Nothobranchius furzeri: one gene and its partners. The protein of the gene in region 1 purifies or fractionates together with the protein of each later gene. This does not show direct contact. Links are inferred from orthologs where the notes say so. Each region holds a gene or a part of one and is shown in the gene's direction. Other genes may lie near its edges.

Region 1 (7,724 bases):
AAGCTCAATGCTAGACGAAGAGCCTTGTATCAGCGGTTCTGATCAGTTTATCTGTGATCTGTTAAGCGGTTTTGCTCAGAAACACTGTGTGGCGAATGATGAAAACTGTGTACACTTCCTTTTATGGCCTGTTTAACAGCTGATTGATTTACTGGCCCTCATTTCACAATTTGTCTATATTTGGGCTTTGGTGCACCAGCTAGGCTTCTGTAACAAAGAGTTTTATTGAGGAGAGCTTTAAAATGCAGTTTGGTTCAAGTAAACTCAGGACAGTGCATGTGTCTGTTTCAGTCTCGTTATTTTGGATCACATATGTGTGATCGCATCATCTGACCAGACTCCATAGTGACAAAACAGCACTCCATCGCTCTGCACCTTCTCACTCTGGTTTGAATTTTCTCACGTTCTCCTGCTTTCAGTTTGTCTATCTCTCACTGTGACAAACGTACACACTCACTATGTTATAATCTGGAGTTAACTCCCCCCAAAAATGTTCAGTCTTGATTTGACATCTAGCTCCTTCTCTTCTCCGGCACAAAGGTTAGAGGTCACACAGCAGCATTGTCACCATGGCATCTGGAAGTACGAGCAGCGAGGAGGAGCGGAGCCTGAGGGAGTGCGAGCAGTATGTGCAGAAACACAACATCCAGCAGCTGCTGAAGGACTGCATTGTCCAGCTGTGCACCTCCAGGCCAGACAGGCCCATGGCCTTCCTCAGAGAGTACTTCGAGAGGCTTGAGAAGGTTTGTGTGTACTATGGTTCTTAATATTGGTCACTGAATGCTAAACATTACACATTCTTACATCAGGTAATCACAGACAACTAACATTTCTGTACACTTGCTCTAATTTCCTTTGATGCTACACTCCAGTTTCCCTCCTTTTTCCGGAATTATGTTTGTTTTTTACATCTCCATAAAAGTGATAGTCTTACGCTTTTACTGTGATATAATGTAGGCAACACATCTGTTTTTGCTAAGCCAGCCCCATCCTCTAGAGCCCCATGCAAATTGAACTGAGCTCTGCTCAGCATTAGCCAATGGCGTTAGACATCTTCCTACTGACGGCAGTGACAGAACGCAAACATTTGAGATGTACCTAGACTGGTGTAATTGGTGACATTTCTCATGTACAAGTTAGTCTTAACACACGCACGCACGCACGCACGCACGCACGCACGCACGCACGCACGCACGCACGCACGCACACACACACACACACACACACACACACACACGAACGAGGGGCGTTGCTTCCATCCATATTCACATAAGTAAAGAGGGGGTCTTAAGGTGCTTCTTTTTGCTCTAGATCAGTGGTTCCCAAACTTATTTAGCCGCGCACCCCCTTCTATGTCTCTCTCTCTCTCTCTCTCTCTCTCTCTCTCGCTCTCGCTCTCGCTCTCGCTCTCGCTCTCTCTCGCTCTCTCTCTCTCTCTCTCTCTCTCTCTCTCTCTCTCTCTCTCTCTCTCTCATATATATATCAGATGTCAAGCTAAACAGACAGGGTTAAAAAAAAAATTCCCCATCACTTTCATTTTTTAAATAGTAATTAATAAACATTCGATACCATTTCAATTTCCTTTGATTTCATTTTAAATAAATATTTAGAGTGCCCAGGTAGCACATAAAAAATGCAATTGAACGGTTTTCTTAAAGTAGGAACGTTTAACCTGTGCGGCCAGAGCGCTCTCCTTCCTTCTGTTCTGCGTAAACCTGAGCTGATCACCTGCTTGTGCGTAATCAAATGTCAATAGGGGACAAGATATAGCCATGATGTTCACTTTTACCTCAGACCGACTTATTGCTGTTTTATGGTGTGGCTGAATCTGTGATCCGCTGCCACGCTGACTGGAATAACACATGCTGCAGTAACAGGAGTTGTGGTCAGGTTCATGAGGAGTCACTGGCTGTAGCGGACCCGACTCATCCCAGAAGCTAATATCTTAATTTGACCTTGAATGAAAAATAACCTCTTAAAAGTTTTTATCGTGGTGGAGGCAGCGTTCATTTCTGCCTTCAGTCTGACGGCGCGCCGGAGTTAAAGCAGCGTGCGCGCTTATTGAATCTGTGTGTGTGTGTGCGCGCACGCACGCGTGGCACAGCCGCTCAAGTCACCGCGTCTCGTTATTGTCGCTATTAAAACTTCTGCCCAGCCCAGATGTGCTCACATGTGCACCCGTGAGCCGTGACTGGAACGCGTCTGATCTCTGACAGACGCACTCTGAACTTCAGATCTTCAGCGCGCTGTTAATAGCCTGAATGGGAATCATTTCTTGTTATTTTGTTACATCCACAATGTTCTGTGTGTGAGGTTTACAATGTCAGAACACCTGCATGAGACAGGGTGTTAATTACAATCTGCCAGAATGACTCACCACCTTCAGATTCCTCCAACACCGTTAAAAATGATCAAATACGGAACATATCGGCGTGCGCAGGCCAGAGTGCTGAAGCTCGGTGCATTGTTATTATGAAGCTAGGGCACATGTGGAGGACACGCGCGCAAAAATATACTTGTTTTCAATTACATTTATTGGGCCCACTTACTTTTTCTTTGGCCCACCCACAAATGAGTTTCTACAATAATGGTGACATATGACAGACTTCTCTGAGCTCCGCAGCCATTACACTTTTCACCTCGCGCACCCCCTAGCGGCAGCTCGCGCACCCGCACCACACTTTGGGAATCCCTGCTCTAGATGGTGCTCTCCAAAAAAAAACAAACAAACAGATTTTTACTTAAACTAATAAAAAATATACAACCATATAAAATCAAATTGTCAGTTCAACCCATTTAACATTTTTATTTTGAATAAATTTAGGGATGTCCCGTTCTGATATCGAAAGTAATTCAATATTGACCCAAAAACATTGTATTGTGAATTATATCGGACGGCAACAAAAATCTCCGATATAAGCGGTCCGTTAAGGTTCACATTTTAGCAACCAATAGTTTTTCCCATTTTTCCATACTTACTGTTATTGGCTTTTGTTCTCCGATTGAGTAATGTCACTTGATCAGAAGTGAAAAAGTTGAATCGGGACATCACTAAATAAATGATCTGGTGTAGTATTTGTGATGTCATCAATACAAAACAGAAATGGCTGTAAATGTTAGGTTTAACAGAAAATGTCCTAACTCTAAAATCAGTAAACCACAGCTCTTCTATTCGTTTTTTTCTCCTACAGATGTGCATGCATACGGGTTTTTGTATTTTTTGGATGGTACGGCTCCCATTAACCTGAAAAGGCTTACCTCATGGCTCGGCCACTTTGGTCATCAGAGGATCATCGTCGGCTAGCAGAGCCTACACACTCAGGACAATCCAGACTCTTTTCATGTGTCGTTCCGCAGGTGTGGAAGGACATACCATGCACGACTAGAACAGGGGCTTCCTTGTCAACTTTCAAGAAACTCCAGCTCTTCAGAGAGCATCTTCTAGACTAGGACCCACCCTGCACCCATCCCCCACTCTACAGTTCACTCCTTGTTCACTTCCCTTTATGATTCATTATGCTGCCTCTCTGCCACCACGGGTGACTGATTAGTGTTTTGTTGTTAGCCTCAAGGGCAGCCTGCTGGCTTCATTATCACTTGTAAGTTGCTATGAACCAAAGCAGCTGCTAAATACATAAACATATTTAGAAATGATGTTTGAGTGACATCTGAACCCTTGGAGGTTTATTCCACATCGGTGGCTGATGGGGCTGCATCCTGGAACACTAGTCTTCTCTTTGACTCCTGCAGGAGGAGGCCAAGCAGATCCAGAGCCAGCAGAAAGCCAGCAGTTCCCGCTCAGACTCTCGCGATGAGGAGGTGTCTCCACCCATGAACCCCGTGGTAAAGGGTCGCCGACGAAGAGGAGCCTTCAGTGCAGAGGTGTACACAGAGGAAGATGCAGCCTCGTATGTCAGAAAGGTAGTTTAATCACTCCAGTGTGCGAACCGTATTGTAGTGATTCTGATGATATCTGATAGTAAAATCTCTTTCTTTAATTCTATAATTACAGGTCATTCCAAAAGACTACAAAACGATGGCTGCTTTGGCTAAAGCCATTGAAAAGAATGTGCTGTTCTCACACCTGGATGACAACGAGAGAAGGTACCGGGCCATAGATCGTGTTTATTTGAAGCTTTTTCAAGTGAAACGTGGATTTTAAGTTATTTGTGTTCATCGGATCAACTCACTGGTGTGTTTTATCCCCAGCGACATATTTGATGCAATGTTTCCAGTCACTTATATTGCCGGGGAAACTGTCATTCAGCAGGGTAGGAGCACATGTTTCATGTGTTATCTAAAATATTGACGATATTATGACCAGTGCGATACTAAATGTATTGTTCTATGTGTTCAGGTGATGAGGGTGACAACTTCTACGTCATCGACCAAGGAGAAATGGATGTGAGCATCTTTACTTGGTTTTCTAACATAAAGACCTTTGTTGATCCTTTTCTGAGGCATGGTTCGTACCTGTCTGATTCCACAGGTGTACGTGAACAACGAATGGGTGACCAGCATCGGCGAGGGGGGCAGCTTTGGAGAGCTGGCACTGATCTACGGCACCCCGAGGGCAGCCACCGTTAGAGCCAAGACCAATGTGAAGCTGTGGGGCATCGACAGAGACAGCTACAGGAGAATACTGATGGTGAGGGAACTTCTCGTCGACTCTGTGGATCATCTCACGGAGTTGGAGTAACACCCACCCTCTTTCTTTCAGGGAAGCACTTTGAGAAAGAGAAAGATGTACGAGGAGTTCCTCAGGAAAGTGTCCATTCTAGGTGGGTGTGTTTAGTTCTCATCAGCTGCTGTGTAGAAGTTTAAAAATAAACACGGAGTGGAGTTATTGGTGTTAGATCTGGAGTTTAAAATAACATGAAGGTGTATGTAAAAATATATCTAGACATAATCAGAGCGGGCTCAGCCTTTTGTGTTATCATGGTCTATCAGATCAACATCTGTGTTCTCCCTCCTCAGAGTCTCTTGATAAGTGGGAGCGCCTGACGGTGGCCGATGCCTTAGAACCCGTCCAGTTTGAGGATGGACAGAAGATCGTTGTGCAGGGAGAGCCAGGAGACGAGTTCTTCATAATCTTAGAGGTTCATGCACAACCCAATATACTCATGGCTGTCGGTGCATTAAAACGTTTTATTTGTGATTAATTACAATTTTTAAATGTATCATCACATGATATTTCTCATGTTTCCAATGTTTTTATAAGAAGTAGGAGCAGAGAAACCTACTTCCTTTTGGCGAACGATGACTAATGCTGTCTAGGACATTTTATAAAAAGGTTTTACGTCTAAAGGATACTGCACGCTCAAAATGCAAAAAGTTAATTCATAAGCAGCAAGTCCACCTCCCAGTGTAGCACAGGGGAACATTAGAGCTCCTCAGACTTCATCCTCCATGATGCTAATTAGCATGTAGCTTCCCTCTGTTGTGGCATCTGTTAGCTTGTCTTGCTTCTGTGGATGTCCAATATCATCGGTCTGCTGATATTATCAGATGATTTTTGCTTTAAAGGGTAATATCGGAAAATATTAGTATCGGTTTTTACCCCTTTAGTGATCCAACTTTTACACACCACGCACATATTACACATCAAACTCTTTGGCTTCATCTCCTCTCTCTCATAATGCCAAAATATGACAGATCTGATGATTAGTTTTGAGATATTTTGGTTTTATTTGGCAGAACTTGTGGATAATTAGGAATTTGCACCGTGTGGGGAGGATCTGCCGTCCTTAGAGCACGTAGCAGCTAGCAAACACCCAAACACAAGAATCTTATCCCCAAGGCTCGTGTTTCTTAAATGACGATCGTTATAAATGTTTTATCAACATAACTACAATCTACAGAAACCAAAAGAAATACATTACTGACTGACGCACACATCTTAGCTTAGCAACTAGCCTCGCATAGCATGTGTACGCTCACGCTGCTTACACTTTATCAGCTAGGTCACTTTAACACATGCCCAAACATTCCCTAAACAAATAGATACTTACAAAGACAAATGTTCTCCAAGGCGCCCACGTTAAGGCTAAATCAACGTGTTCTTGATGACCCGTTAATTCTCTAGTTTCTGCTTAAATGTAGGATGTAAACACACCGGCAGCTAAGGCACAGAGCACTCGCTCTGTCGTGTTTTGCTCAGACAGTTTAACAAAGATTGTTTGAAACAGTGATGTCTCACTTTGATCCATTTCCAAAACCTAAAACATTTGAATCTTTTTATCACCTACTAACCTAATCAACCTTTTTCCCATAATGAACTGGATAATTAATTGAGGCCTAAAGGCGTCACAGAGCGTTAGTCCAGATTATCTCAAGGAGAATGTCTTCAGCTGCTTCTTTTATCTATTACTAACATGCATTGAAGTTGTCTGCAATTTTGCATGGATAATGTTTAAAGCAGGGGTCGGCAACCTGTTCCCATCAAAGAGCCATTATTACCCGTTTCCCACAGTAAAGAAAACACTGGGAGCCACAGCAGCCGCGGCGTTGTGGGCGGGGCCTACCCTCAGACAGCAGAGAGCTGCTCACAACAGGTGACAGCAGCCGGTACCGGTCGCTCGTGTACGTCAAAGCTGTCTTTCATAAGAAGATTATCAATAAAACGATTTATATAAAATGGATCCAGAAGTTGTAGCCCGTCTCTGCCTACAGGATTTTGATATTTTTCACCCTGTTGGTGGTTTTACTGAGTTTCCACTTTTGTCATACATTTCTTTTTAAAACATGTTTAGACTGTTCAGAATACAAATCCAGGCTCTGGTTTGATTGTTGTAATTGAACTTTGTAGGTGGGGAAGGTCAGAAAAGGATCCGATCATTCTGTTTTTCCCTCATTTACAGCGACGGAGACAACGGCGCTGTGCGCCTGGCTCTGGTGTTAATCAAGTTAAATTATATCTCTTTGTAACAATTTTCACAAGAAAACAGAACAGTTAAAAGCAGGGCTTGTGTTGTGTTGACCGGATAGTTCCCGTATTTGGCCGTTTATTTTGACAGAGAAAGAATAGAAAGAATTACCCCGACGCATGCAGACGAACTGACTCTTTATTCGTTATGCACATCGCAGATGTAGCTAAATCACTCAAGAAAAGATTCCCATCTGAACATCTGAGCTGGACACCGCTCAGCGCAGCTCGCTGTCAGCGCGTACGCACGGTGCACAGCGAGCTGAAGATGTGGAGAGGGGCTTGGAGCGCGTCGCAGAACCAGAGCGCATGCGGGAAGATTCCTCCGTCTGAAGCGAGACTTGTCACTTAGAAAATGTTCCCTGATTATGAAACTTTGGCTGAATAGCGCTTGTTCCTGTCTCCAATGTGGCGACACATCCAGGAGCCGTCTGAGGAGAATCCCAGAATCTGACATCCTCTTCAGCTCAGAATGCGCCGATATGATTACGCACAAGCGTGACGTATCAACCCGGTCTCACAGTAAGACCGGGTTGGACCTGTTCAGGTTTACGCAGACAATCTTTACATTTAGAATTGGCATACAGATGTAAAATTAATGCAGTAAAATATAAAGCATTTTATTTAAATATCCATTCGTCATTTTACAAGCACAGAGAGCCGCATCAGATGGATGGAAGAGCCGCGGGTTGCCGACCCCTGGTTTAAAGCATGCATGATAACAAATTTTTAATTTTTTTTTTTATTAAGAGTGACCCCTGCGTATATCAGTGTCGGGAGCCAATATCGAGCATCACTA
Region 2 (8,216 bases), on another chromosome or scaffold:
AGCAGGGCACGATGCCATAAATTTGTTCAATCCAGCCAATTGCATAATTTGGTCAAAAGCTCCAAAATGTGGATTTTGCATGATATAGTTTCTTTAAAATCTTTACTTCTGCATCCACCTCATAAAAATATATAAAAATATCTAAATGTAAAACATTTAGTTAGATTTATGTTGGTTAAGATTCCCTTCTTGTCTGCTTTGCTACTGGCCATTCAATGTATATTTTTTGTATTTGGGTACCTGTATACATGCATTTGATCTGTCTTCTACTTTATTCACAGTTATGCTACAACCATTTGACTATGACCCCAATGAGAAAAGTAAACACAAATTTATGGTGCTGACCATTTTTGCCCCACCAAATGTTACTGACATGGACTCTTTGGTAAGTGATTTATATTACTTTGAAAATAAATATACATAATTGTATGCAACCTGTTTAAACTTTTGATTTCTGAAACGCTCATTTTAAAGTCTTGAAACTACTGGATTTCACTGCAGATTTAATCTATAAATATATCTATATTAGCTATAAATATATCTATATTAGCTATAAATATATCTATATTAGCTATAAATATATCTATATTAGGGATGTGATGGTACATGTATTGAAATCTTTTTGGTCCAGAGTGTTTGGTTCAGCAACGTTCTTCGAAAGGCCCAACCTACCCTATCTACGTTGGCTGGTGTTGGCAGTAGACACCGGGTTCTCCGTTGACTGCGAGGACCGAAAGTGAATGCCGTAAATTTAAGATTTACTGACTGTAGTGTATGTATGTTGCTTAGCAACCATGAAGATATTAATGACTCCACCAGGCGGGCTACTTTTGTGTGTAGCAAGAGTGAGTTTTCTAAAGCCGGAGCAATCATAACTGACAATAAATCGACCCGTTTAACAGGCAATGTCAGCAAATTAATATTTCTATTAAAGGCACAAAGACTTAACATGAACCAGTTTCTTGGACAAAATTAATGACAAGTAAAGTTTTATTTTAAATGTTGTTTTGACTTTAAATATTTTAAAGGTGAGGAACACTGAAAAAACATTTTTAAAGTCATATTTCTGATTATTATCAGTCACCCTGAGTTTTTAATACAAGCTGAATGTAGTCTTCTACACCTATCTCTTGTGTTAGCTTCTGATAGAAAATAAACGGTGAAACTCTAGAAATCCTGACAGATCTTTGTCGCATTGTCCCTTCACGTTCATGGACTCACCTATCTTCACTTGCGATGGGGAAGGCTGTTTTTGGTTTAGCGTCCAGGAAACTGAGAACATCTTGGCTGGTCGAAGCTAACCATTAGCTTTAGCAACTCACCCACACAGCAGAACTCCTCCAGGCTTGTGGTATTTGTGGAAATAGAACAGCAACTTTGCAAGTTATGAGTGCATTGTTGCACCGTGTGTGTGTGTGTGAGGGGTTGTATGAACTAGTCGCTGTTACGTGATAATGAGTGACAAGATGCAGTCCTCGGAAAAGACAGCAGGTGACGAGCCCCTGCGCATCAGGAGGCAACGCGCTGTGCCAGAGCGTCGGTACTGACACCCGCCGTAAAACAGACATTTAACCAAATTGTGACCTTTACCCTCTTGCAATTTAACCTTTCCCTCACCCCCATCCTAACCTTAACCAGCTTGTGCATGCAAAGCTCTGATCGTTGACGCGCTCCAGACATCTGCGTCCTGAGCACGGCCACAGTAACATTATCAAACTAGGTGTCGCCACCTCAAAAACAAATTTAACACGCGATCGTTCATGTCGGCTCATTTCCTTTTATGTGTTCTGTCTTTTATTTGTGCCTGATGCTTTTCGCTGCTGTGGAGCGGGGCGTATCACCTGTTTCGTCCTCCGCTGACGCACCTCACTGATGCGGCCGGCGAGCAGCGCACACTCCGCTGATTTTGCGGCCGGTAGATCTTTTAGAACTGCAGTTCAAAGGTGAATATATATGAACCCAGGTAGCAGTTTTTCTTTAGGATTGAGAGGAGATGCAGGAAGATAATAAACAGACAGGACAGAAATATAGTCAAATAAAAACAAGTTTGTTTTTGTACCTGGTAGCAACAAACAGACACCATTGAAGGTAATCAGAAGTGAGGAACAGAAAATGAAATAATTATTTTAATGTTTAGAGCAGCAGGAACTCTGAGAGGCTGCAGGCGCATCAGTGAGTTTGTGGCCGCTGCGCAGCGGGAGGTGGGAGAGCTGAAGCAGAGCAGTAAAGATGCAGAAACTACCGTTGTTAAAGGAGATGTGTTTAACTTTGAAAATGTGGGCGCAATTTTACAGCATCTGTCTGCATTCCTTCCATCGTGGGGGTTGTTGTTAGCAGCTCAAGGCTGCCTTGGCGTCAGATTTGGATAACAAGACTTTGTTTGGGTCAGGCAGAGATAATTTTCCTCTCTGCCTTGAAGTCTGTATTGATCATTCCAGTCCTCCAGTGAAGCCAATTTCAGGTTTTAAACATCTCCACACCGTCCAGCGACCCTCTCCGAGATGACATCCATTTGGCGCACTAATACCGGCAACGCAGCAAGGACATTGTCCCGCTTACGGTTCACCTCGAGTAACGTCCCAGTCTGTGAGGCATCCGCCCGGGCGGTGCTTTCCATGGGTGCGGGTCGCACTCCAATCGCTCCCGACTTCCCAAATTTCCAGAATACCAGATATCCTCCTACTCCAATCAGAAGAAATCCAGTGATTATCCAGCCAAATATCCACATGTCTTCAACATCCTCAATGGACAACTGAGAGAGACATACGATCCTCCAGACCTGCCAGGAATCGAGCGCATATCCCGCTGCGTGTGTCCCTTGAGGGCAAGTGGGAGCCCCCTCCTCCGTTCTCATCGTGGAAAAGATCTTATCAATCACGTTGAATGACCAATTAATTAAATCCATTTCTAAAAAATAGGGATTTCCAGAAGAAATGCAGAGAAGTGCTCTGTAGGCAGACAGGACAAAGAGCCTTGGGGAAAAAAAGATAAGGGAGCAAAAAGCAGAAGTGTCTGCACTCTGCTATTTTTGACTTTTCTGAGCCTGTCAAGTCCTTCTTTTGACCCATTTTGCCAAAGGAAATGTAGTTGCCTAATAATTATGCACACCTGATATAGGCTGTTAATGTCATTAGACACCACACCCCTTCTCATTACAGAGATGCACATCACCTAATATGCTTAATTGGTAGTAGGCTTTTGAGCCTATACAGCTTGGAGTAAGACAACATGCATGAAGAGGATGATGTGGACAAAATACTCATTTGCCTAATAATTCTGCACTCCCTGTAGAGACAGCTGACACAAGAGGGGGTGGTTGTTTTGCTGTTTCTTTTCAGGACTCTTGTGATGTTCCTCGATAATACAAAATGGTACAAAAGGGCCAAAATGCTGACAAACTATTTTGGTTGTCATATATATTTTCTAAGCTATGTATTATGGCCCATATTATTTTAGGTGTATTCACCCTTTGTCCGCCAGAGGGCAGCAAAAGCTTTGCAACAATTAAATAAAGAAGATCTTGTAGTTTTCTCTGAACTGCTTTATGACAACTAAATATTCTGCAGTTGTTCTGTTTTAATTGACTTGTATAAATTAAACTTCCATATAATCATTTAACTACTATAAAGCTGTTTTTGTAGTAAAGTCAGATCTTCTGTGGGTTTGAGTTGATGATTAACTGCATCGTTTTCACTTATTTTTTTTCCATTTCTACCAGTGGAGAGACGCAAAATCTGATGAACTCATGGATTCCAAACTGAGATGTGTCTTTGAGCTGCCTTCTGAAAATGATAAAGTGGTAAGAGGCGAAAAAACCCATCCATCCGTCTGTCCGTCCGTCCGTCCGTCCGTCCGTCCGTCCGTCCATCCATCTTCATCGTCATCTGCTTATCTGGAGTAGAGTCGCAGGTGCAGTAGCCTAAGTCGAGAGGCCCAGACTTCCCTCTCCCCAGCCACTTGGGCCAGCTCCTCCGGGGAAATACCAAGGCGGTCCCTGGCCAGGTGGGCGACATAGTCCCTCCAACGTGTCTTGGGTCTACCTTTAGGCCTCCTCCCAGTTGGACGTGCCTGGAAATCCTCACCAGGGAGGCGTCCAGGAGGCATCCTGACCAGAGGAGCCAGTTGAGATGACTTGGGCATCTGGTTAGGATGCCTCCCTGGTGAGGTTTTCCGAGCACGTTCAACTGGTTGGAGATCCAAGGGAAGACCCAGGACACCAGCGAGGGACTATGTTTCTTGGCTGGCCAGGGAACGCCTTGGGATTCCCCCGGAGGAGCTGGCCCAAGTGGCTGGGGAGAGGGAAGTCTGGGCCTCTCTGCTTAGGTTGCTGCCCCCCCAACCCGACCCTGGATAAATGGCTGAAAATGGATGGTTGAGAACCAGTTGTTAAGTCAGCTGCAATCTGCATTTTTCTTTTTGACCTAAAATTTAATCATCATTTTTCTGTAGGTGACAGATAATTGTTGCACAGGCATTCTGTCTGAAAATGTCCAAAAAATACTTTTGAAGCAGTTTTAGATGAGATTTTTGATTAGTGAGGCAAAATTAAAGACAAACGTAGAGCTAAAAGCATTTTATGACATTCCAGGAACCCTTTTGGAAAACCTTGTGGACACACTCTCTACCCTTTAGTGACAGAAAAGGTTTTTTAATGTTAAGTTGTTCCAGTGGTAATAACCTCTGTATTTATGGCCAACTTACGATACAGTAGTTGTATTTCTGTACTTCTACAATGAAGTTCTCTATTTTCCCATGTCGTCATTTTGGCTGTCTCTCAAACAAAACCACATCAAGTGTGACTTTCTCATCTCTTTGATCCAGCACCATGAGCTTGAAACAGTGCCTCTTTTCTACTACATATTCTCACATTGGGTCAGGCTATGCTAGATTTCACCTCAGTCATGCTTCTCCTCCTCTCGTCGTGCAGAATGACATTGAAGCAACAAGAGCAGCCCCGGCGATGAACTCTGTGAAAGCAGAGCCGACATCAGCAGCTATGCCTGCTGCTGCAGATGATGCTGAGATGAAGAAAATGCTGGAGAGGTGCAAGAGGTTGCAATCTGAGGTCAACAAGTTGTCTGAGGAGAACCGGCAACTAAAGGTCAGACGGGCAGATGAATCGGATTGTGTAAAGCACTGGCTATTGCTGTTTAGCCGAATGCTGAATTTTTTCATCATCCACGGTGATGCTGACGTGCACAATTCGTTTGTAGCATCAGTCGAACAATTAGGAAGACAATACTTCATAATTTCAATCTTGCAAAGTTGGGCTATTGGATTAACTTCGTAAAAGTACTAATACTTTGATGATATTTTTCTCAAGTACAATTAAATTACCTGCCTAAAATTTTACTCAAGTAAAAGTAAAAAGTTGTTTTAATAAAATGGCAAAATAAAAGTTAGGGTTGAGGTCAATAATCAGGCAAACAAATAACCTTGTGCCTCAAACCTACATAAAAACACACCAATGAAAGTAAGGTCTAGTTACATAAGATGTGACCTAGCTACAGGAAATAAATAATTATCAATGTAAGTATAATGAAAACAACATCACAACAGAATTAAAACAAACAAGCAATCATTGCTTTTGGGTTTAACCGGTATGCAGTACCTTCTGCTCTTCTCGGTGTCTCATTCTGTTTAGACGCTGTAGTTTTTTAATCGCAAATTTTTATATTTATTAAAAGCCAATAAACATATTTTATACTCTTATGTGGTGAAGTACAATACATTTTAAAGAAACAGCTTAATTACAGTAACACCGTAAACATTAGTAATCCGTTACTTTCCTCCTTTGCCCCCTCTGCTTTGGCAAAATCGCCAACTTTTGGCCAAATGTCCCACCCCTTATTCTCACATTTATTTCTTGACCCAATTGCAATGCAGTATATTGTTGACGCATCACATCGCTGATTAAGTTAGGAAAATGTCTAAATATCATCTGTGTGAAATGCCCATAGTCATTTGTTGGATTGACGAATACCGATTTTTACGTGTAGCCCAACCTTATAATCTAGCTTCAATTTTTTGATTAGACGTTTTAATAAGAACAACCTAAATCTCAAATGTGTAGTCCATCTTAAATGTTTCATATTTTTCAACAGGAGGAAGGCAATAGAATGAGAAAAATGCCCCGCTCGGACCACATGACGTCAAACTCAACTAACGTCCTTGGCCGGGAAAATAGCGTCGCCTTTCTGCCCTCTCTCCTCGTCGTCATAGCAGCCATCTTCATTGGATTTTTCTCTGGGAAGTTCATCTTGTAGACTGGAAGATGCATGCCAGCCGTGTTCCCTGCTCCGGCTTCTGAGAAAAATAATGAAATAAATAAAGGCCTGGAAAAAAGCAAGAAGTATTTTGTTGACTTTGCCATATCATTGATTGTGTGGCCTACAGTGAACACATCTGTACAGCATCATTCAACGGCATCGTCTTTTTTCAATCTCACACTATTGTTGCCCCCGAGAGTTGATTCAAGAAGGTAAACCTAAACAATTAAGTACTCCCCTTTATGGTTCTCACGCCTTTTAACAGCTGGTTTACAGTTTGATGGGAAAGTAAAAGTTAAGTGTCACCCAAAAACATGGAAGATGCAGACAGGCGGAATTGCACAAGGCGGCCCAGATCTTATTCCTTTCTCTCCATGATGTCAATAGGAATAGAAAGGAATGTTAGACTTCCTGTACATGTTAGATTTAACTGTAAAGGACAGAACCGTTTAAGCAGACCTTGTTGCTGGATTACCTCTGAAATTAATTTGTAATTTTTGTCTTCTTTCTGTGGGAATGTCCAGGTTCAGCTGGGGATATAGGTGCCTCGTTCTTGTGCATTTGTCCTGTTGTTTTCCTTACAGCACCAATGCAGACTATTATTATTATTATTATTGTTATTATTATTATCATTATTATTATTATTAATAACCATACCACAGCACATATTCCTTCTGAGGCAAATATTTACTGAAAATGTGGTTTTCATTTTTAAAATTCTGTTCCATGGTATTGATCACTAACTAAATAAAATAAAATATGTGGTTTTCATTGCTCTCCTTTTCTGTGTCAATGCATGTACATCCGTCTTAATATTTATTATCAACCATTTATTTTCTTTTTTTGTTTTGAGAATTAAGCAGTGGAATTTCTGCACCTCATGATAGAAAACCTGCAACAGAGACCATGTGTCATTAATAAACCGCAGTGAAAATATGCTATATTTAAAATAGTGGTAGTAGCTAAGAAGAGTAACAAAACTACCTAATTTTACCTTTATAGTGGGAAAGTTTATTCCAAGAAGGTCTTGAATAATGTTTGGTGATTCGATCTTTTACCAAACAGATTTTTTCACTAAATGTTTTTTTAAGTACTTTCATTTCTAGAACTTTAGGGCAAGATCTGCTGTTATAATTTGACTAATTTTAGGCCAATTATGAAAAGATTGCAGAGCTTTCTTTATACGATGCTTATTTTCTGTGAAGCATAAACCTCTGTCAAAGCATGTAATCATGTAATCAGCAGAAACTCCTGTAGAATCGTGGGAAAAGGCGTCCACACCAAACTGGCTGGGGTTCTGAATGTTGAGCCCTTCAGAATAAAATATCTGTTTTTGAATGTTTTTCAAGTGTCAGAAAATGTCTTTCATCTGTGAATTTTTTATAACTACAAGCAAAAAAATCTTTTAAAAAACAGGCTTTTAAATGTTTTGATTTTTGTGTTTTTGCTGTTCCTAGAAATATTTGGACAGTAACATGATAGTGTTAACTTTTTCCACAGTCATTGCACAATAACCAGCTTTAAAAAAAACAGCTGTCTTCTTTTGCAGCTTGTTGGATCCTCCTACCTTGTGTTTGTCTTTAGTGAAATGCTCAATTTAGTTGATCTGATTACTTATTGCACAATATTCCAATTTCTTGCTGCCCTTTGCAAGGACTGTTTTTGTTTTGGGTTGTTGTCCACCTATGAAACGCTTAACAATAATTTGGCTGTTTCTGTTTCCTGTCGCATCATCAGACATGACCACAGAATGACACTGCCTCCACCGTGTTGTACTGCACTATACGTCTAGATGTTAAATGGATTACACTTTGAGATGAATCCTCTGTATTGGCTTTCATGGAGTTTTTTCCTAATGATGGATACTGATTCATTCTTGCAGAGTTTTCCTCACTTGGGTGAATATTGTGACTGTGATTCTTGCCCACTGACGAGCAGGTCTTTTTG
Region 3 (8,178 bases), on another chromosome or scaffold:
TGTTTACAATAAACATCAACAAACGCTCTTAATATCCATGGTCCACGCTGCACAACTTCCTCAAACCGTACATACTAGTTTATAGTTTGAATGTAACATCTTCTCCTTTTATGCCAATTCAGGATGTACAGATGCAACAAAACGCAACACTGCCCCCTGGGGTCACAAATTGTGATGGGTCGCAGAATTTGGCGTAACACCGGATCTGACCCACATCACTGCCATTATTGATACATTTCCCTTTTCTGACCGCCAGGGGGGCTCAACAGGCACATGGGGGCGTGTTTTGTAGGGGTTTGTAGCGGCTGCAGCTGCATCTAGACCTTACTCTCAACACTGGGTAAATACCATCGAAATAAATATATGGACAATGGGTTTCCATAGGCTCCAATAACAAGTTTTTCTGCTAAAATGGGAGGTGGCCACCACCGCCATTTTGACCGTGTCACAGGTTCCGTCAAGCCCAGACAACTCCATAAGAGGGAAGAGAGATGGACCTGAGGGTGGGGCTGTAAGGCTGGGATCGACTGACGACCCGGTCGAACTAGCTACAAGCTAACATGAAGCTAACCCAAAGCTAATGCGGAGGTGGGAACTAAGCTAACGGAGGTAGCAACCTAGCTACAACTGGAGTTAACTGTGCACAACACCAGAGCTTCTGAGTCAGAGATACGCCGGGCTGACCGCTGGGTAAAACCGGGTGGAACACAGAGTTCTCCGAGACCTCCACAAGCCGGCAGCCGCACAGCAGACAAGCACCGCTGCGATCTGAGATGCGCAGAGCTGCCGCTGGGGAGAACCGGGTGGAAAGGTTTCCATCCAAGAGCTCCACAAGCCGTCAGCCCGCGCAGCACACAGAAGCCGCGATCAGACAGAGATGCGCCGAGCTGCGGGGAGAAGTGGCGTATTTTGGCGGTTCTGGCTTGCCATAAGAACCAGCCGTCAGCCCGCGGAGCTAAGCTGCGATCAGACAGATGCGCCGAGCTGCTGGGAGAACCAGCCGTCAGCCCGTGCGCAGCAAACAGAAGCCGCGATCAGACAGAGATGGACCGGGCTGCGGGGAGGGGATAAGGGTGGAAAACATCGGTCTCCCGAGAGCTCCACAAGCCGATAGTCGGAACCCAGCTCCACCAACATGTTATATCTCAACCCATTTTCTAAAGTGCAGCATTATGTTAAATGCACTGGGTTTTACCCTATTACATTTAAATTTCATGGTTAGACAGTACATGTTAAAATCTAAGCTCAACTCGGCAGTTAACTAAAATACATAAATATAATTTTGAAAAAAATGAAGTGGAGACTCCTTGGACGCTCTATTAGTGAAATTAATGCCACAGCAAGTCATTTTGTCCAACAGTTGCACAAAAAATATCCAAACAAGAATACACAAACACAGAGACTCAAAATCCCGGAACAGTTTCCAAGCCAGACCGAGGCTCTACTGAGGCCTTTCCACGGCGCTAGCTTTGTGGTCACGTGGGTCTGATGCTCATTAATTATAAAGAATTTTAGGCTTTTAATACACTTAAACAGAAGAGTGAGAAAAAATTCACCCCCCTCAGAGTTGTCATGAGTGTAAACTAGATCATTTAAACCAAAAACATGTTTTGGTACCAAGCTGTAAACATGTTTATTTCTGCTGTGAAATTGGTATTTTTAACATGGGAGTCAATGAGGATTTGCTCGTTTCTGACACCAGCCCCCAGCGGATGAGAGTGGAACTGCAATTTATTTCACTTCTGGGTTTGGCTCAATTTCAGAGCTGCATTGTGGGGGCCTGGTAAATACTTAAGTTTGTAAGAAAAGTCCAACTTTTTTAAACTGTATGGATGATACCCTAAATTAAGTTGTATTTTTACGATATCCTCTCCATTTAAAGCCTTTGTATACTCGCTGACCTCCATCGCGTTGTGTTCGTTTTTTTTATTGCAGAAAAGCATATTTACATTACAAATAAGGCAAGCATGCCAATGTATTCAGATGAGAATCGAACAGTCAGTGAAAAGATCTTTAACAACTGACAGCGCCATAGTCTCCCCCTCCCCTCACGTCAAGAGTCTGTGTCATTCTTGACAGCTCACTTTCTTTTCAAGCTCACATTAATAACATAATTCGGTCAGCATACTTCCATCTACGTTCCATAAACCGTCTCCGTCCCTCACTGACCCCTCACACTGCCGCCATTCTCGTCCACAGCCTCGTCACGTCCCGTATCGACTATAGCAATTCACTTCTTTATGGTCTCCCCAACAAACTCCTTCATAAACTGCAAATGGTCCAGAATTCAGCAGCCCGTATTATCACCAGAACCCCTTCCTTTCACCACATCACCCCGGTTCTCCAGCAGCTTCACTGGCTCCCAGTTAAATTCAGGTCCATCTTCAAAATTCTCCTCCATACCTTCAAAGCAATCCACAACCTCTCTCCTCCATATATCTCAGACTTTATAAGTATTCACACCCCATCCCGTTCACTCAGATCTTCTTCTTCCATCCATCTTGCGGTTCCTTCTGCCCGTCTCGCTACCATGGGTAGCAGAGCTTTCAGCCACTCTGCTCCTCGACTCTGGAACTCACTTACCCCAGACATCAGGAACATCGACAGTTTTACCCTTTTCAAAACAAAACTCAAAACATATGTTTAAATCTGTCTACAACCTCTGATTTTATTGAACTGTTTCTCTCTTTGTTTTTTTCTTGTTTGGGTTTTATTATTGTTTTATTGTATTGTATCACGTGTTTTCTGTCAAGTGACCTTGGGTGTCCTCCTGAAAGGCGCTTTTAAATAAAATGTATTATTATTATTATTATTATTATTATAAAAGGGGGAGGACAAATGCAAGGGACCACTACACAGTTCCAGGAAGTCTACACAACAGTCTATACATATCTTCATAGCTGTTATTATTGATACATTTAAGGGATCTTAGATACAATCTAAAATCATGTACAAATGCATTAAACACAGGGGGTGATTTCAGTATTTTTTGTTTATGTATGAAGAATTTTGCCAGACAGAGAAGTAGATTGTAGCAGAGTTCTTGGTTGTTTGTTTGAAGGAGAGTTCCAAAGGTGATGCCATCTCTTGAAATGGGACATGGGATTCCAATTTGAGGTTGAATCTAGTTTTCAAAACAGTTCTAAAACGTCCGTGTCTTGTTGCATTCAAAGAAAATATGATCAGTTGTTTCAACATCCTTCCCACAAAAGGAACATGAATTATCATCAATGTTAAAACGTTTTCTGAGCACATCTTTTGAGGGATAGACATTGTTTAAAATTTAAAAATGTGTTTCTTTGACTTGCAAAACACTTCTTGCCCCATCCTGAAATTTCGCGCATTGTGACGTCACGATAGTCACGTGAGTAAAACCCAGCAATAGCCAATCATAGGAGAGTCTTTCCAGCCAATCAGAGGCGAGAAAGACGGGACCTTCCTTGGACATCCTACGATTCCAAATGACTCACATGGGGCGTCTGCGTGTGTCAATGGGACGAATCGGGAAGGAACGCGTTCGTGGGCCGTTCGGTTCATTTTCAGGAGCCATTTAAATCGGTCTGAAACAGCTGAACGGTTTGTGGAACGCAATAGAACTAAATATGATGTTAATTTTTCATCTCATCATAAATGTCTGAACTCCAGAAACGGTCTGGGTCCACGAACCTTTGCCAGTTATTCCCGAAATCCGTGTTTGTAGCAAGAGTTCAGATGAGTTCCGAACGAAAAGATCATTCCCGTACCGCACAGCATCCATCGCAGCGGCTCTGTCCAGCGGTTCTGGTGTCCGACAACGAGAGGTGAGTTGAATTTCTACTAAATACCGGGGTACAGTAACAAGAAGGTGGATCCGTTAGTTGTTTGAGCCACCAGCAGCTTCCGGTCTGCCTGCTGTCCACCTACGGCGGAGCTAAACCACCGCGGCGCGGCCTGGGTGAGCTCGTAGCTAGAGCCCAGCTCGGCTGCGGACGGGACTGGTGTCATTTCCTATGTCAGTGATGTTCGTCCGAACCTCTGTTGTCCTTCAGCTAGCATGCTAACTTCGCGTGCCGAGCTCAAGTCCGTGATGTGGGCTTAACGTCTGTCAGCACCAACATCCGGCCTGCTCCTGATCCAGGACCGGGTCCCTGGTCTCCGCTGCAGGACCGGGTTTCCAGCCCAGCTGACTTTCCTAAACGAGAATCTGGTGCAAAAGTTCGCTTATGTCAGTAATTCAACTTGAAAGGTGAAACTAGTGTATGAGACGGACTCATAGATACTTCGGGCCTTGATTTGTCATATCTGTGACGATTCTGGCTTCCAGCTGATGACAAGCCCACATAAACATCTCAGACCATCAGATTCTTGTGGAAAGGTTCACCATTCCAGACTCTGATCAGCTGATAAATCCAGAACACCTGCAGAGGGTTCCTGAGCCTTTAGACGGACTCCTGCTGTGTCATATTTGGCACAGATCATGGTTAAAGCTGCTTTAACACTAACCTGAAGTACATTCTCTATGCTCCTAAATCCAGCTGGTAATTAGAGTTAGGTATTATCCTGGTACACAATAGCACCAATGCACTATTCAGTATGTGTTCAGTACCTCGTACCAGATTTACATAGTATGTCCGTGTCTCTTACAATATGCTGCTCAGTTCTTCATTTTTCTATTTGTGGTTTTTAGTGCTGGAAGGTTCCCATGCTAGATACCTGCCTATGTGTGTATATATACACGTGTACCGTTGTATTATTTCTCTTCAGGCTAAGTGTTGGTGCTGCTGTAACAGGTGGATGTCCCCACTGTGGGATCAGTAGGGTCTATTCTATTCTATTCTAGAATCAGCCACTCTTGTCTGGCCATCAGTCACTTGGAAATGAAAAAGCAGAGATTTTTCCCAGTCCTTGAACTCAGCGTTGCTAATCATAACTGAGAGGTTCTAGCAGTGTGCCTTAGGGCCGGGCTCACTGGGCCAAAACTTAAGTCTCAATATAACGGAGCTGAATTTGCTTAAAACTGTCTTCAGTAATTGTATGTTTAAAATCATCAGCAGATTAAATGCATACCGGTATGTAGCGGGGTGAATATTGTTGCTTTTAAGCTTAATATATTACCTTTACTCATGACCAATAAGCTGTGATATAGGATATAACCTGCTTGGTCTTTGGATGTTTAATCAGAAGATTCTAGGATTCTTTGCTTTTTCAGTGATCAAACACACTTCATCTCAATTCAGACAGATTCAGGTTTATAAAAGATAAGAAATGTATTTTCTAAACAAATTAAAACAAGACAAGTTAAATAGGACGACTGTGATGGTTGAATCTAAATGGATGGAAGGTGAGATGTATGGAGCTAGGATTGGGACAATATTCAGCGTAACTTGTGCCAAGTTTTGTAACTTGGAACATGTTTCATCACATGTAACTTTGGATTCGTAACTTGTAACTTTAGTTTTATAACTTGTAATTCTCAATTTGTACTTGTATTTCTTGTTTTGTAACAAGAACATTGTATTTTGTACATGCATTTTTATTTTGTAAAATCAAACTTTAATTTTGTACATTTACTACTCATTTTGTAACATCAAACATTCATTCAGAAACATGAAACTTTCGTTTTGTAACTAGCAGACTTCCAAATTAAAAAAATCAAGGTACACGTTTGAAATCAAAACTCTCAAAACACACATTTCATTCTACAGGTACAGACCTCAAATCTGTCTCGATTCTAGCGTCAGTGGGAGGAGCTTGGGTGGAACCAATGAGAGCACGAGTCTTGGCTACCAATCACGTTTCTCGAATTCCTGTCCAATCATTGGGAGAGGAGGGCAGGGTTCTGTCAGAGCTGTAGAAAGAGAGTTACAACACTCTTTGAACTCGCGGTCACGTGGTTCATGGAGCTCCCAAACATCACAGCGCCGTAAGTCAGTTTGAACAGCGTATGGTGGGACAATCACAAAAATTTAACCTAATCACATTTCCCCTGGCGATTTGTGGTAATTATTGAATAATATTATATATTATATTAAATATTATGTCCTAACTCCTTCACAAAGTAGCCAATTTATATTTTTCCGAGCATTTGTAGGAAGACAAACACCCATGACTGTTCTACATTACAGGAACACGACAGTCCTAACACACTGTAGAACACATTTAGACCACATACATTACTATAATATATTATAGCAATACATTTGATGTAGTAATGCAACACACTGCTCTAATATAAGCATATTTAATAACTTTAAGTCCTACAAGAATCCCTAAACTCGAGTTGTAATATCCATTTTAAAGTGTTTATTGAATAGAATTCTGCTCCAGCTTACCTTGAAGAAAATATGTATCTGTTTATGCTTTGAATGATATCTATTATGTTCAGTAGAATACATTTTACAATCATTACTTTATATTTTTATGTGAAGACAGTACATGCATCTGTATCCAGTTCTATAGCAACTAATTAAAAATAAATTTTCAATAAAACTGTATGATTCATCACAGTAGATAAAAAGTGTTATTTGTGGAAAAAATGAACACCAAACTTGTACATGTATAATAGCATTTTTAATAAAGCATTTTACCAACATTATGTTTAGTCATTACATATGCACAAATAAGCTGAATCATTAATTATGAGCAATGTACTCAAGACCTAATGAAGCTCTTTTGAGTAACTTTATTTTGATTATTATTAAAATAAAATGTGTCCATGGGTTAAAAATTGAAATGGCTAATTTTATGGTTGGATAAAATTTTTAAATGTAATTTTACATCTCTATATTTTTGGTTTAGTTCAGTATTTCTATATGTACAAAAATAGTATTTTAATAATTGCTTTATAGGTTGATTATCTTACCTTGGTTGGCTGCGCTGCATATAGCAAACAGTCTGAGGGAGGAATCAGAATTATGGCTTACCCAAAGATGCAGAGAGAAGAAGAAAATGGTTGGCTCAAGTCAGCAGGAGCAACCTCACCATGACCAGAGATCACAATAACAAAAAGCTGTGTGCAGTGAGTTTAATGTGCACTCTCACATGTTTTCTATCAAGGCTCTACATGTTCTGCTCTCAACTGCACAAGGCTGCAATTAAACTGTTAAACGTGGCAGGAAATAAACTAATACACCACTCTACAGGCACATTTTGAGGAGGGACAGTTTACTAAGACTAGGCAAGGCAAGGTGAGACTCAGGGCTGATGCTGTGTTTGTTCATCGCCCTGAACCAAGGAGGAGGAAGGACCCCGCAGTGAGAAGTACAGCAGAACCACTGCATGTTGATCCACTGACCAGTGACCACAAGTACTCAAGTAAACTGTGGTACAAATCTTTTGAAATATTAAGACATTTTTATATATTTTATTTTAAAATTATTCTTTATTCTAACAGTGTCATTATAATTTCAGAGAATGAGGAAAGCAGCAGCAGCAGTGAGGCAAATGAGGTGAGGGAAAGTGAGACGGGACATGAGATGGTATCAGGAGAGAGGGACATCCCAGGAAGCCATGAGGAGCCGGCGTCAGGGCCAGGATGAGAAAGGAACAGGCTATGCAACCAGGGTACCCAGCTGGAAAACCTACTAAGAGAGGAAACAGAAAATCAAAAAGGCATGAAAAACACATGAGGCATTAAATGGAGTAAACAGACAATCAAAAAGGCCGTACAGCTCTGTTTTTCAGTGGGTTCAACAGGCTGCAGGTTTCTTCAGGGCATGAGTATCCCTCTGCCTGATGTTAGAACCCTGCAAAGACAAATGCAGCCCATTAACTGGAACCAGGTGTGTTAGGAGAGGTGTGTGACATGCTCAGTTTGAAGGTTAAAAATCTGACAGAGATGGAAAGAGAGTGTGTGCTCACTGTGGATGAGATGGCAATCACTCCAGGCGTGCATCACTCCATCACAGACCCAACTGGGATTTGCCACCACCGTTGTTCCTGGTCAGCTCTCCGCTCAGCCACTATGAAAACATGAAGATGGACACACAACACAGTTTAACCTTTAATGGTTACATAAGATCTTTGTTTTAGTTACTCTTTGACATTTATTTATTGATAGTTGTGTTATAAATTCTTATTTCTTGTCATTCCTTAATAACAAAATTGCAAATGCTAATATTATAAAGCAAGTGGAAATGAACAGTTTTATGGAAAATGTCTAATTTTTAAAAGTTATTGTGTTCGACTACCATTCTTGAA
Region 4 (8,477 bases), on another chromosome or scaffold:
CAAAGTAAGTGAGGAAATGTTCTTGTTTCACTTTTAAATAGACGGACTTATTTTCAATTAACATTAACTGGACTTGGAGTTTTTTTTAAATGCCTAACATGCAGTTATCAGTTGTTACCATCGGTTGTTACATATATTCAATTCAATTCAATTCAAGTTTATTTATATAGCGCCAAATCACGACAAGAGTCGTCTCAAGGCACTTCACATAATAAACATTCCAATTCACAGTTCATTAAGCCAATCAGAAATAATGTTTCCTATATAAGGAACCCAGCAAATTGCATCAAGTCACTGACTAGTGTCAGTGACTATACAGCAATCCTCATACTAAGCAAGCATGCAGCGACAGTGGAGAGGAAAACTCCCTTTTAACAGGAAGAAACCTCCAGAGAATCCTGGCTCAGTATAAGCAGCCATCCTCCACGACTCACTGGGGAAACACCTAATGTTGATTCAGAATCAGATTGTGTAAAATACTAATAAACAGGTACAGCTTATATTTGGACAGTGACCTTTAGCCGGGTAAACAGGTTCAGTTTCACCGAGAACCACTTTTAAAATCACATTGATGTAAATGTTTGGTAACACTTAGGGTCATTTTATTAATGTTAGTGTGTTATTAAGCATTAATAAACCAATAAATAAAGTATAAACAACTGCTTAAAGAGCAAGTCACCCCCAAATAAACTTGTTTTTGCTGATAAACTATATAAACGAGTGTCTGAGTGTGCTGCAAACACATGCAGTCAATAATTTGGCACTTTAGCGCATCTTAGTTAAAATTGAAATATTCTGCCTAAAACTGTCACTGTTGCGCCGTCGTCAGGTAAAAACTCTGCACTGCATTTGAATTTAAATCTACCATCACTATTGGCTAAGAAGTACACTATGATGTCAGCTAGTACATCATGAGATCACAATGTCGTTGTGAGCCTATGTGTGTTTAGTTGTTAGCGGCTCTGTCCTTTCGGTCTGCCAAGCAACTGCATTTTTTGCGTTTTTCAAACAGGAATTGGGAGTGGAGTAAGACTCTGGTAGGGGGTGACTTGCTCTTTAACCATGTTATGTATCGTATTACCAAGTAGACACCCTTCCCCTCCCTGCCCTTCATCCCAACCTTAAGGACACCTTATAGTTAACGATAATGTTAATAAAGAGATCCTTTGTTTATTAATGCTTAATAATACAATAAGTAACTTTAATAAATATACCCTTGCTGTAAAGTGTTACCAAATGTTTAAAATTAGCTTAATAATAATGTTAGCTAAGCGGTCTCAAGTCTTTCCTCTTGAGTCATAAATTAGGTCATGTTCATATTGGTCAAGTCCATGTACCAAACTTTTAATTCAAAATCCTAAACATTAATTTGGCAAAATTAGTTATTTCATTAATTAACTGATCCACTAATTATTAATATTTTTTAAACTTACTCCACTGACTTCTCTAAGTCATGTGACTCGTGTCCAATGAAGTAATGAGGAGTAGTGTGTGTGTGTGTGTGGGGGGGGGGGGGTTCCAAGAAACCAAATTTTACAAGAATTTTCAGAATGTCTGGTCAGTGAACTTCATTAAAATAAAAATAACACAGCATTACCTCATTTCAGTAAAACTAGAAGAGGTAGTAATCATTAATGAATCGAAACTGCCTTATGGGAAAATGTAGGGGACATGTCCCCCCGTCCTCACACCATAATTGTGCCCATGCTCCATTCTACACCTCTGGTATAATGTACTCATGGGAAAACAAACAAAAATACAGTTATAGATAGCTATTTGGTTTCACATAAACTTGGTTTATATCAACATTTTACCCTTTAGCTAAAAAAACATTTATGGATGGTTAGAAATTAGAATATAATAACATAACATTTCCATTTGTTAGAAGTCATCTGAAACTTGTAGCTTAAATTAGTTTTAATTATTAAATTTTTTGTACAGAACAAGGACTGCAGATTTGATGATCCTGTTCAAATTTAATTTACGTGCTAATAATTTCAATATTGTCAATAACAGTCATTTGTGTTGGTACTTAATAGGCTAATTGTTTATTAAAAATAGAATTTTCAGCATTTATTTGTTTTGCTGAGATAATATTACTTAAATATAACTATTATTATTATTATTATTATTATTATTATTATTTTCATCATCATCATCATCATTATTGGATTTAAAATATGCTGAGGAGGAACCACCACATAGTGAAATATTATCGGAATAAAATAAGCATCGTCATCCAAAAAAAATAGCAACAGGCCGAATGAGGTTAAAAACACGGAGAGGGGCACCGCTGGACTCCTGTGTGCGCTGTAACTCTGGCCAGCTCCGAATTTATTCGTCATTGGCACATCCGGGTATTCTTTCTCTTTTTTTTTCTTTTTTGATTGACAGTTTCCATAGCAACAAGCTAGAGCATCGCCATTTTGTCAGGAGGGTTTTTTTCCCCCCCAGCTCAGTCTTTTCAAATGTTCTCCCTTCCCGCCGGAATAATGCTGTCAGTGGATATATTTTTGACGTTTTTGGATATCGAGATGCGTCTAGTGGATCGGATTATTAAGAAGACAAAGAGCCCGACGTTTTAACCTAGTTGAAATAATTAGGCGGTGCCGCACTAACTCAGTTGTCCGTGTCTCTGGTCCACCGGGCCGGTTCACTGCGCAGGTTTGGACCGCGCGCCATTTTGTGAAAATTGACACAAAATTCCAAACCAAAATTTATCAGAGGACACGGCTTCTGCTTAGTGTTTAAAATGCACTAGATGTAATCGCGTTGTCGCCGCTCATCGAGGTGACCGACATTTCAGTCGCAAAGACGAGCGTTAAATCAGAATTTGGCATAACGTTTATTTAGCGGTGGCTAGAATCGTTAGCTTCAGGCTAAGTCAAAGGAGCTAGCTGATGTTAGCTGCCTTCATTTTGTGAACCAGCTAAGGTTAGCCAGTAAGTTACCCGTGCTAGTTAGCATGTTGTTGGTCATCAGCTGATAGTAACGTTTGATGAAATTACTTCGATCACGGATGTTGCTCAGCAAGGCTTGGACAATGAAGCGCGTACTAGATGTGACTGGTGAGTTATTTTAGCCGGCCAGAGGACGGGGGATTGGATTTACTCGCTAACCGTGCAGGGAGGTGGAGAATCAAGCTGGATAAGTTTCCTCATCATACAGGTTATTGGACTTTAAATGAAGATCGTGCCATTAGAGGTAAGCAGATCCAAACTGTTCTATTTCACATTTGCGTTAATTTGGCTTTTCTCGTACGTATATATGTCCCATGTAGCGTGAATGGTTAACAATGATGGAGGCGGTAGTGAAGTTGTGGCGGCTAAGAGATTTTGTGGAGCCAGGGTTAACGTTTGCTTACAGTCAGTAGGTCAAGAGACGGGTTTTAATGCTGAACGTGAAGGAATTTCCAGCTGACTGTGAGTTTGGACGGAGAGTCGTGATGGCACGGTGTTAATGTTCCTGCTAACCGTGCTATATTGGGTCCTGTCATTGTATGATTGAAGCCGTGTTAGCTTACCTCCCCGATTTGATCTACTGCATGGGCCTCATAGCCCGCTGGCTGCACACAGCGTCACTAGCTAACGTCGGGCTGGTGAGAGATATGCTCATCTGCCCCGCAGTTTTCAGGGTAACGACGACAGCGTTATAGCTAGTTAGTCCGCTAGCGGTAACGTGACGGGGAATATCATCTATTTGAGGATTTGGACTGCCTCACGAACAATATGTAAGCAAGAGAAGACGAAAATTAACACTGAATATGCTTTCTAAATTCCAACCATGACGAGATCTACCTTATCATCTGTAAGTACAGACCGACTCGGTATATATTTATTCCCCGCGAACGTTTAGCATTTAATTGTTTTGGATCGGTTATGTTTGATCCATCTTTGGAATGAATCTAATCAGTTGGGCGTGAGAGGATGACACACGGGGCTTGTTACAGAGATCTTTAAGCATCCTTTTGTACGATTCGGCTTCTAATATCAAGCTAGCTGTCGATATATTTACACATAAATAGGCCCACAGATGCCATAATGACCAGAGCCAAGAAAGGAACTGTTCATTTCTTAGTACTGAAGAATAAGATAAAGCAGACGTTTAGGAAAAGACTAAAGAGCTACAAGTGTGCTAAAAATTGGCATTTTGTACCACTATTATTTTACTTGTATTACAATTAGTTTAAACGTTTTAAATAAAATCAAGTCTCAAGACTGTCTAATAGAAGTAAAGCACTCTCAAACTAGTTACTTCCCTCCAGTTCTTTGTAAAATTACATAGTCCTGTACACTAAATATAGTTGTGTTCAGACGAACAGTTGTCTATTTTATTGGTGTATATTTAAAGCTAAAATTCTCGTTTAAATAACATTTTTACCCTAGAGTATACTAAAAGAAGCTAAAGCCTCAAGGCCCACAACAATGTGAATTCTGATTTGTTTAATTTATTTTTTTAACCGTTTTACAGCTTTGCGATTGAATTTTAATTCATTAAAATCTCAAGCAGCTCATAGTTAAAACCTGAAATTTAAAACTTTTAACACACATTTTTAAAATATGCTTTAAGTTGTTTTATTTCCACAGCATTCACATCCAGCTCACTTTTACAAGTTTTTGGGGGTCCCTTATCATCTTTGGTGGCCATCTGTCACTGATTCTTAACTCAGGTTTAATCTCAGTGATGTTAAATCCCACCCAAAATGCAAAATTATAATAAAGTGTTTTTATTCTTTGTAGTGGGTTGTGGTTTGCTGCTGGACTCTCCTCCCAGGATGATATGAAATTAAACAGAAGATGCATCCAGGTTAGCAGCTGTACATTAGGCTTTAACCCTTTGCTGGGGAAAACTAGTTCACTTATGATCTTTTCTAACTTATGTTGCTGTTTTGAATTTGGCCTCAAGACTTAACATCTATGAGTCATCATGAGCAGGACCAAGTCACACAATCTGAACTGCCCGGGACTGTAGTTATTATTTTTAAATTGTTGATGGTAGTTTTTATTTAGTTATTTAGGTTATAATGGTAACATTTATTTTACACAGCAGGATAAACAGTAACAAAGACATGATGGATAATAAGGATATATTTAGAGCTCATAAGATGAACAAATATTTAATATAATCTTAAGTGTAATTCACTTTTTAATTTGTTTAAATTACATTCTGAAAAGGTATAAATGTGTATTTTAACATATTTATAGTGGCTGAAAAAAGAGATGCGTCTTGGCTCTCAAATACCTTGTTGTCTGTGCTCTATCACTTTACAGTTCCTCTTGTTTCTGTCAGTGGATGTGTATTTTCTGCTTTTCCAAAGCTGGGTCAGCTTTCTAACGCTCTCAGATGAAGTGCAGGTTTTAGGCTGTGCAGCTATTTTACTGTCAAGCTCTTGTGTTGAAAGCAACGTCTAAGTGTGCCAAAGTTCAGTTTTATTTCTTGTTTATTTCTTGTTTTCTCATTGGAAAATGGGAGCAGCTCTGCCCTGGCAACAAAAGTAGGCTATTTGCATACTGCGTTGTGATTGGTCTGTGCATTGATGGGCTTGCCAAATCACGCTGTATCTCTGTGGTGATAGGCTATGCTAATTAGGTGCTGTTGCTGGGATTCTGAATAGTGGTTACTGTGTAGCGCTGGTGAATTGTGTTGTCTGGTGAGAGATGCTGATAGCTGAACATGCTATTTAATAATTTTTTGATTCCTTCTGGCTTAAAATGAAGGATGATTCACTGTACAGTGTGGAGATGCTGTATTCTCGCCCCTTCTCACTGTTAAACCTACCGTTTTCTCCCTTTTCTTCACAAAGGTTGATACATTGCTGCTGTTTTATTTTTGCTGTCCTTTTCATGCAATTTAGATTTGGTTAACATGTTCATTAAAATGCAATATCTAAACATTAATTCAGATACTGTGCCTTTTTTTCCTAACATGGATTTATTAAAGACCTGTCTTATTTTAACATGCATGTTATAAATAAATATATTTTATTCATAATGAAAATTGCGCATTTTTGTAAAGGTGTAAAGGGTTTTTGTTGCTTTTTTGAAATAGTAAAAATGAGAAGTTTATATTAAATCTGTACAGTCTGAATGACACTTATTTTAACTGTAATGCAAAAAATGTTTAGCATGAAAATGAGAATATAACATACCATTTTTTTATAAACTTTTTCTTTCTTAATGTTATTTGTCAGTTTATATATTGGGGATTGAAGTGAAAGTACATTCCCTAACATTGTTCTTTTCTCTTAGGAGGAGAGACTTCAGCATGCAAACCTTCGTCCGTCCGGCTTGCGCCCTCTTTTTCTTTACACACTGCTGGTCTTCAGATGGCTGCTCCAATGCCCCATACGCACCAGCAGTACAGTGACCGCCACCAGCCAAGCACTGACCAATCTGTTACAGTCTTACCGTACAGCGACCAGACACCACAGCTCACTGCCAATCAGGTATACGAACCCCACCACATAGCTCCTCAAGGTTTTACAGTTTTGGGTCCAATATCAAAGCCTACTTCCCTTTTTCTACTGTCACTAGGCAGAGCAGCTACATGTCAAATGTCACTTTCAGTTTAATCACGTCTTGTTAACCATCATTACTTGCAATGATTCAAGAGGATGCTGTTTCTTATGAAATTGCCGTGTGTTTTTTTGTTCATGAATACTTTACCTGTGACACTCCAGAGGCACATGCCCCAGTGCTTTCGTGACCCAACTTCAGCTCCCCTGAGGAAGCTCTCCATCGACCTTATCAAAACATACAAACACATCAATGAGGTTTGTTTTTTTAGTTTGTTTTGATGCATTTAAATCTAAACTAATTATTTACTTTAGCAGCTGAAAGAGTTAACCAGCTATACTTTTAATCATATTGGATATGCTTACAATTAAAGTTACTGCAGCTTTTTTTTTAAATGTCTTTTAGATTTTTACTTTTGCTGAGACGAAACAAAATGCAACATGTTTTAATTTACTGCATTTTTATTGAATAAAACAAAGTCATGTTGGTGAGATCATGATAAAATAATCCATTAGAAGATTCAACTTAACAAAGATCATTGTGTGTTTCATTAGCTCGTCAAAGACTTGTGTGTGTGGTTATGGGATGTAATGTGTTAACTTACAGGTGTATTATGCAAAAAAGAAGCGACGGCACCAACAGGGTCAGGGTGAAGACTCCAGTCATAAAAAGGAGAGGAAAGTGTTCAATGATGGCTATGACGATGATAACTATGACTACATCGTCAAGAATGGGGAGAAATGGATGGACCGCTATGAAATTGATTCCTTGATAGGAAAAGGATCGTTTGGACAGGTGCTTCACTATCAGTTCCACTCAAACGTTTATTTGATTCATAAGAATACAATGTTCTTTCTAAAAGTATTAACCAGCATTTCTGTACATTTTCTTTTGTGATTATTGACCCTAAACGTTAATATCAAAACTAATCCGTAAAAACTTCATGCTGAGCAAACTGTAAACTGTTTGTCGTTGGCGTGTTTAGGTTGTGAAAGCGTATGACCGAGTCGAGCAGGAATGGGTTGCCATTAAGATCATCAAGAACAAGAAAGCTTTCCTCAATCAAGCCCAGATAGAAGTGCGCCTCTTGGAGTTGATGAACAAACATGATACCGAGATGAAATACTACATTGGTAATCCACTCTTGAAATTAGCATCTAATCTGATCAGAAAAATAAAAGGCCAGGGGGTTTGTTACTGACTAACATGGACATAATTTGCTTTTTCTGCAGTTCATTTAAAGCGACACTTCATGTTTCGGAACCACCTCTGCCTCGTGTTCGAGATGCTGTCGTATAACTTATACGACCTGCTCCGAAATACCAACTTCCGCGGAGTCTCGCTCAATCTCACCCGGAAGTTTGCCCAGCAGCTATGCACGGCGCTACTCTTCCTGGCCACGCCTGAGCTCAGCATCATCCACTGTGACCTGAAGCCCGAGAACATCCTCCTCTGTAACCCAAAGAGGAGTGCCATCAAAATAGTGGACTTTGGCAGTTCATGCCAACTGGGACAAAGGGTAATTAGCAGCAGTATTTCTCATCAGCTATGAGTCAGTTGGGTGCAATAAAGTCAATAAGTAACTGTTTGTGGGTTATTTATTTATTTTTTTTACGTTTTTTTATTTTTTTTAATTTGTCCCTTATGTGTGTTTTGTGTATAGATATACCAGTATATCCAGAGTCGCTTCTACCGTTCCCCAGAAGTGCTGCTGGGAATGCCCTATGACCTGGCCATCGATATGTGGTCCTTGGGTTGCATCTTGGTGGAGATGCACACTGGAGAGCCTCTCTTTAGTGGAGCCAATGAGGTATAACAATCTGAAACATTAGCTAGGTGGTCATATTTCAGTGAAGGATGACAAATGCTTTCATCTTGTGTCTGCATTTTAAATCTGATTGTGTAACCATTGGAGATAGAAAAGAAGACTTCATAACCTTAAAACATTCTGAACCATTTGGT

Evidence for each region.
Region 2: the proteins of cAMP-dependent protein kinase type I-alpha regulatory subunit (region 1) and vapal purify together in Homo sapiens (affinity purification with mass spectrometry; 3 studies listed by BioGRID and IntAct, with this or other methods). This does not show direct contact. The link is inferred for Nothobranchius furzeri from reciprocal best matches to the Homo sapiens genes PRKAR1A and VAPA.
Region 3: the proteins of cAMP-dependent protein kinase type I-alpha regulatory subunit (region 1) and akap11 purify together in Homo sapiens (affinity purification with mass spectrometry; 3 studies listed by BioGRID and IntAct, counting the BioPlex papers as one, with this or other methods). This does not show direct contact. The link is inferred for Nothobranchius furzeri from reciprocal best matches to the Homo sapiens genes PRKAR1A and AKAP11.
Region 4: the proteins of cAMP-dependent protein kinase type I-alpha regulatory subunit (region 1) and dyrk1ab purify together in Homo sapiens (affinity purification with mass spectrometry; 6 studies listed by BioGRID and IntAct, with this or other methods). This does not show direct contact. The link is inferred for Nothobranchius furzeri from reciprocal best matches to the Homo sapiens genes PRKAR1A and DYRK1A.

The regions. Positions count from the first base shown.
Region 1 is NC_091756.1:28,742,620-28,750,343, reverse strand, and holds part of cAMP-dependent protein kinase type I-alpha regulatory subunit, read left to right. Parts: intron 1-291; 5' UTR 292-387; intron 388-540; 5' UTR 541-569; coding exon 570-743; intron 744-3,750; coding exon 3,751-3,921; intron 3,922-4,012; coding exon 4,013-4,104; intron 4,105-4,209; coding exon 4,210-4,271; intron 4,272-4,357; coding exon 4,358-4,404; intron 4,405-4,489; coding exon 4,490-4,648; intron 4,649-4,720; coding exon 4,721-4,781; intron 4,782-4,977; coding exon 4,978-5,099; intron 5,100-7,724. UniProt on the Homo sapiens protein: Regulatory subunit of the cAMP-dependent protein kinases involved in cAMP signaling in cells.
Region 2 is NC_091751.1:42,882,660-42,890,875, forward strand, and holds the end of vapal (VAMP (vesicle-associated membrane protein)-associated protein A, like), read left to right. Parts: intron 1-281; coding exon 282-385; intron 386-3,718; coding exon 3,719-3,799; intron 3,800-4,927; coding exon 4,928-5,101; intron 5,102-6,104; coding exon 6,105-6,266; 3' UTR 6,267-6,338; downstream 6,339-8,216. UniProt on the Homo sapiens protein: Endoplasmic reticulum (ER)-anchored protein that mediates the formation of contact sites between the ER and endosomes via interaction with FFAT motif-containing proteins such as STARD3 or WDR44.
Region 3 is NC_091754.1:39,457,356-39,465,533, forward strand, and holds the start of akap11 (A-kinase anchor protein 11), read left to right. Parts: upstream 1-3,656; 5' UTR 3,657-3,800; intron 3,801-7,364; exon of another isoform or gene 7,365-7,562; intron 7,563-7,647; exon of another isoform or gene 7,648-7,724; intron 7,725-7,839; exon of another isoform or gene 7,840-7,940; intron 7,941-8,178. UniProt on the Homo sapiens protein: Binds to type II regulatory subunits of protein kinase A and anchors/targets them.
Region 4 is NC_091753.1:50,165,206-50,173,682, forward strand, and holds the start of dyrk1ab (dual-specificity tyrosine-(Y)-phosphorylation regulated kinase 1A, b), read left to right. Parts: upstream 1-3,066; 5' UTR 3,067-3,204; intron 3,205-3,647; exon of another isoform or gene 3,648-3,807; intron 3,808-4,739; 5' UTR 4,740-4,796; coding exon 4,797-4,806; intron 4,807-6,248; coding exon 6,249-6,445; intron 6,446-6,679; coding exon 6,680-6,772; intron 6,773-7,121; coding exon 7,122-7,310; intron 7,311-7,500; coding exon 7,501-7,648; intron 7,649-7,747; coding exon 7,748-8,034; intron 8,035-8,178; coding exon 8,179-8,325; intron 8,326-8,477. UniProt on the Homo sapiens protein: Dual-specificity kinase which possesses both serine/threonine and tyrosine kinase activities. Exhibits a substrate preference for proline at position P+1 and arginine at position P-3.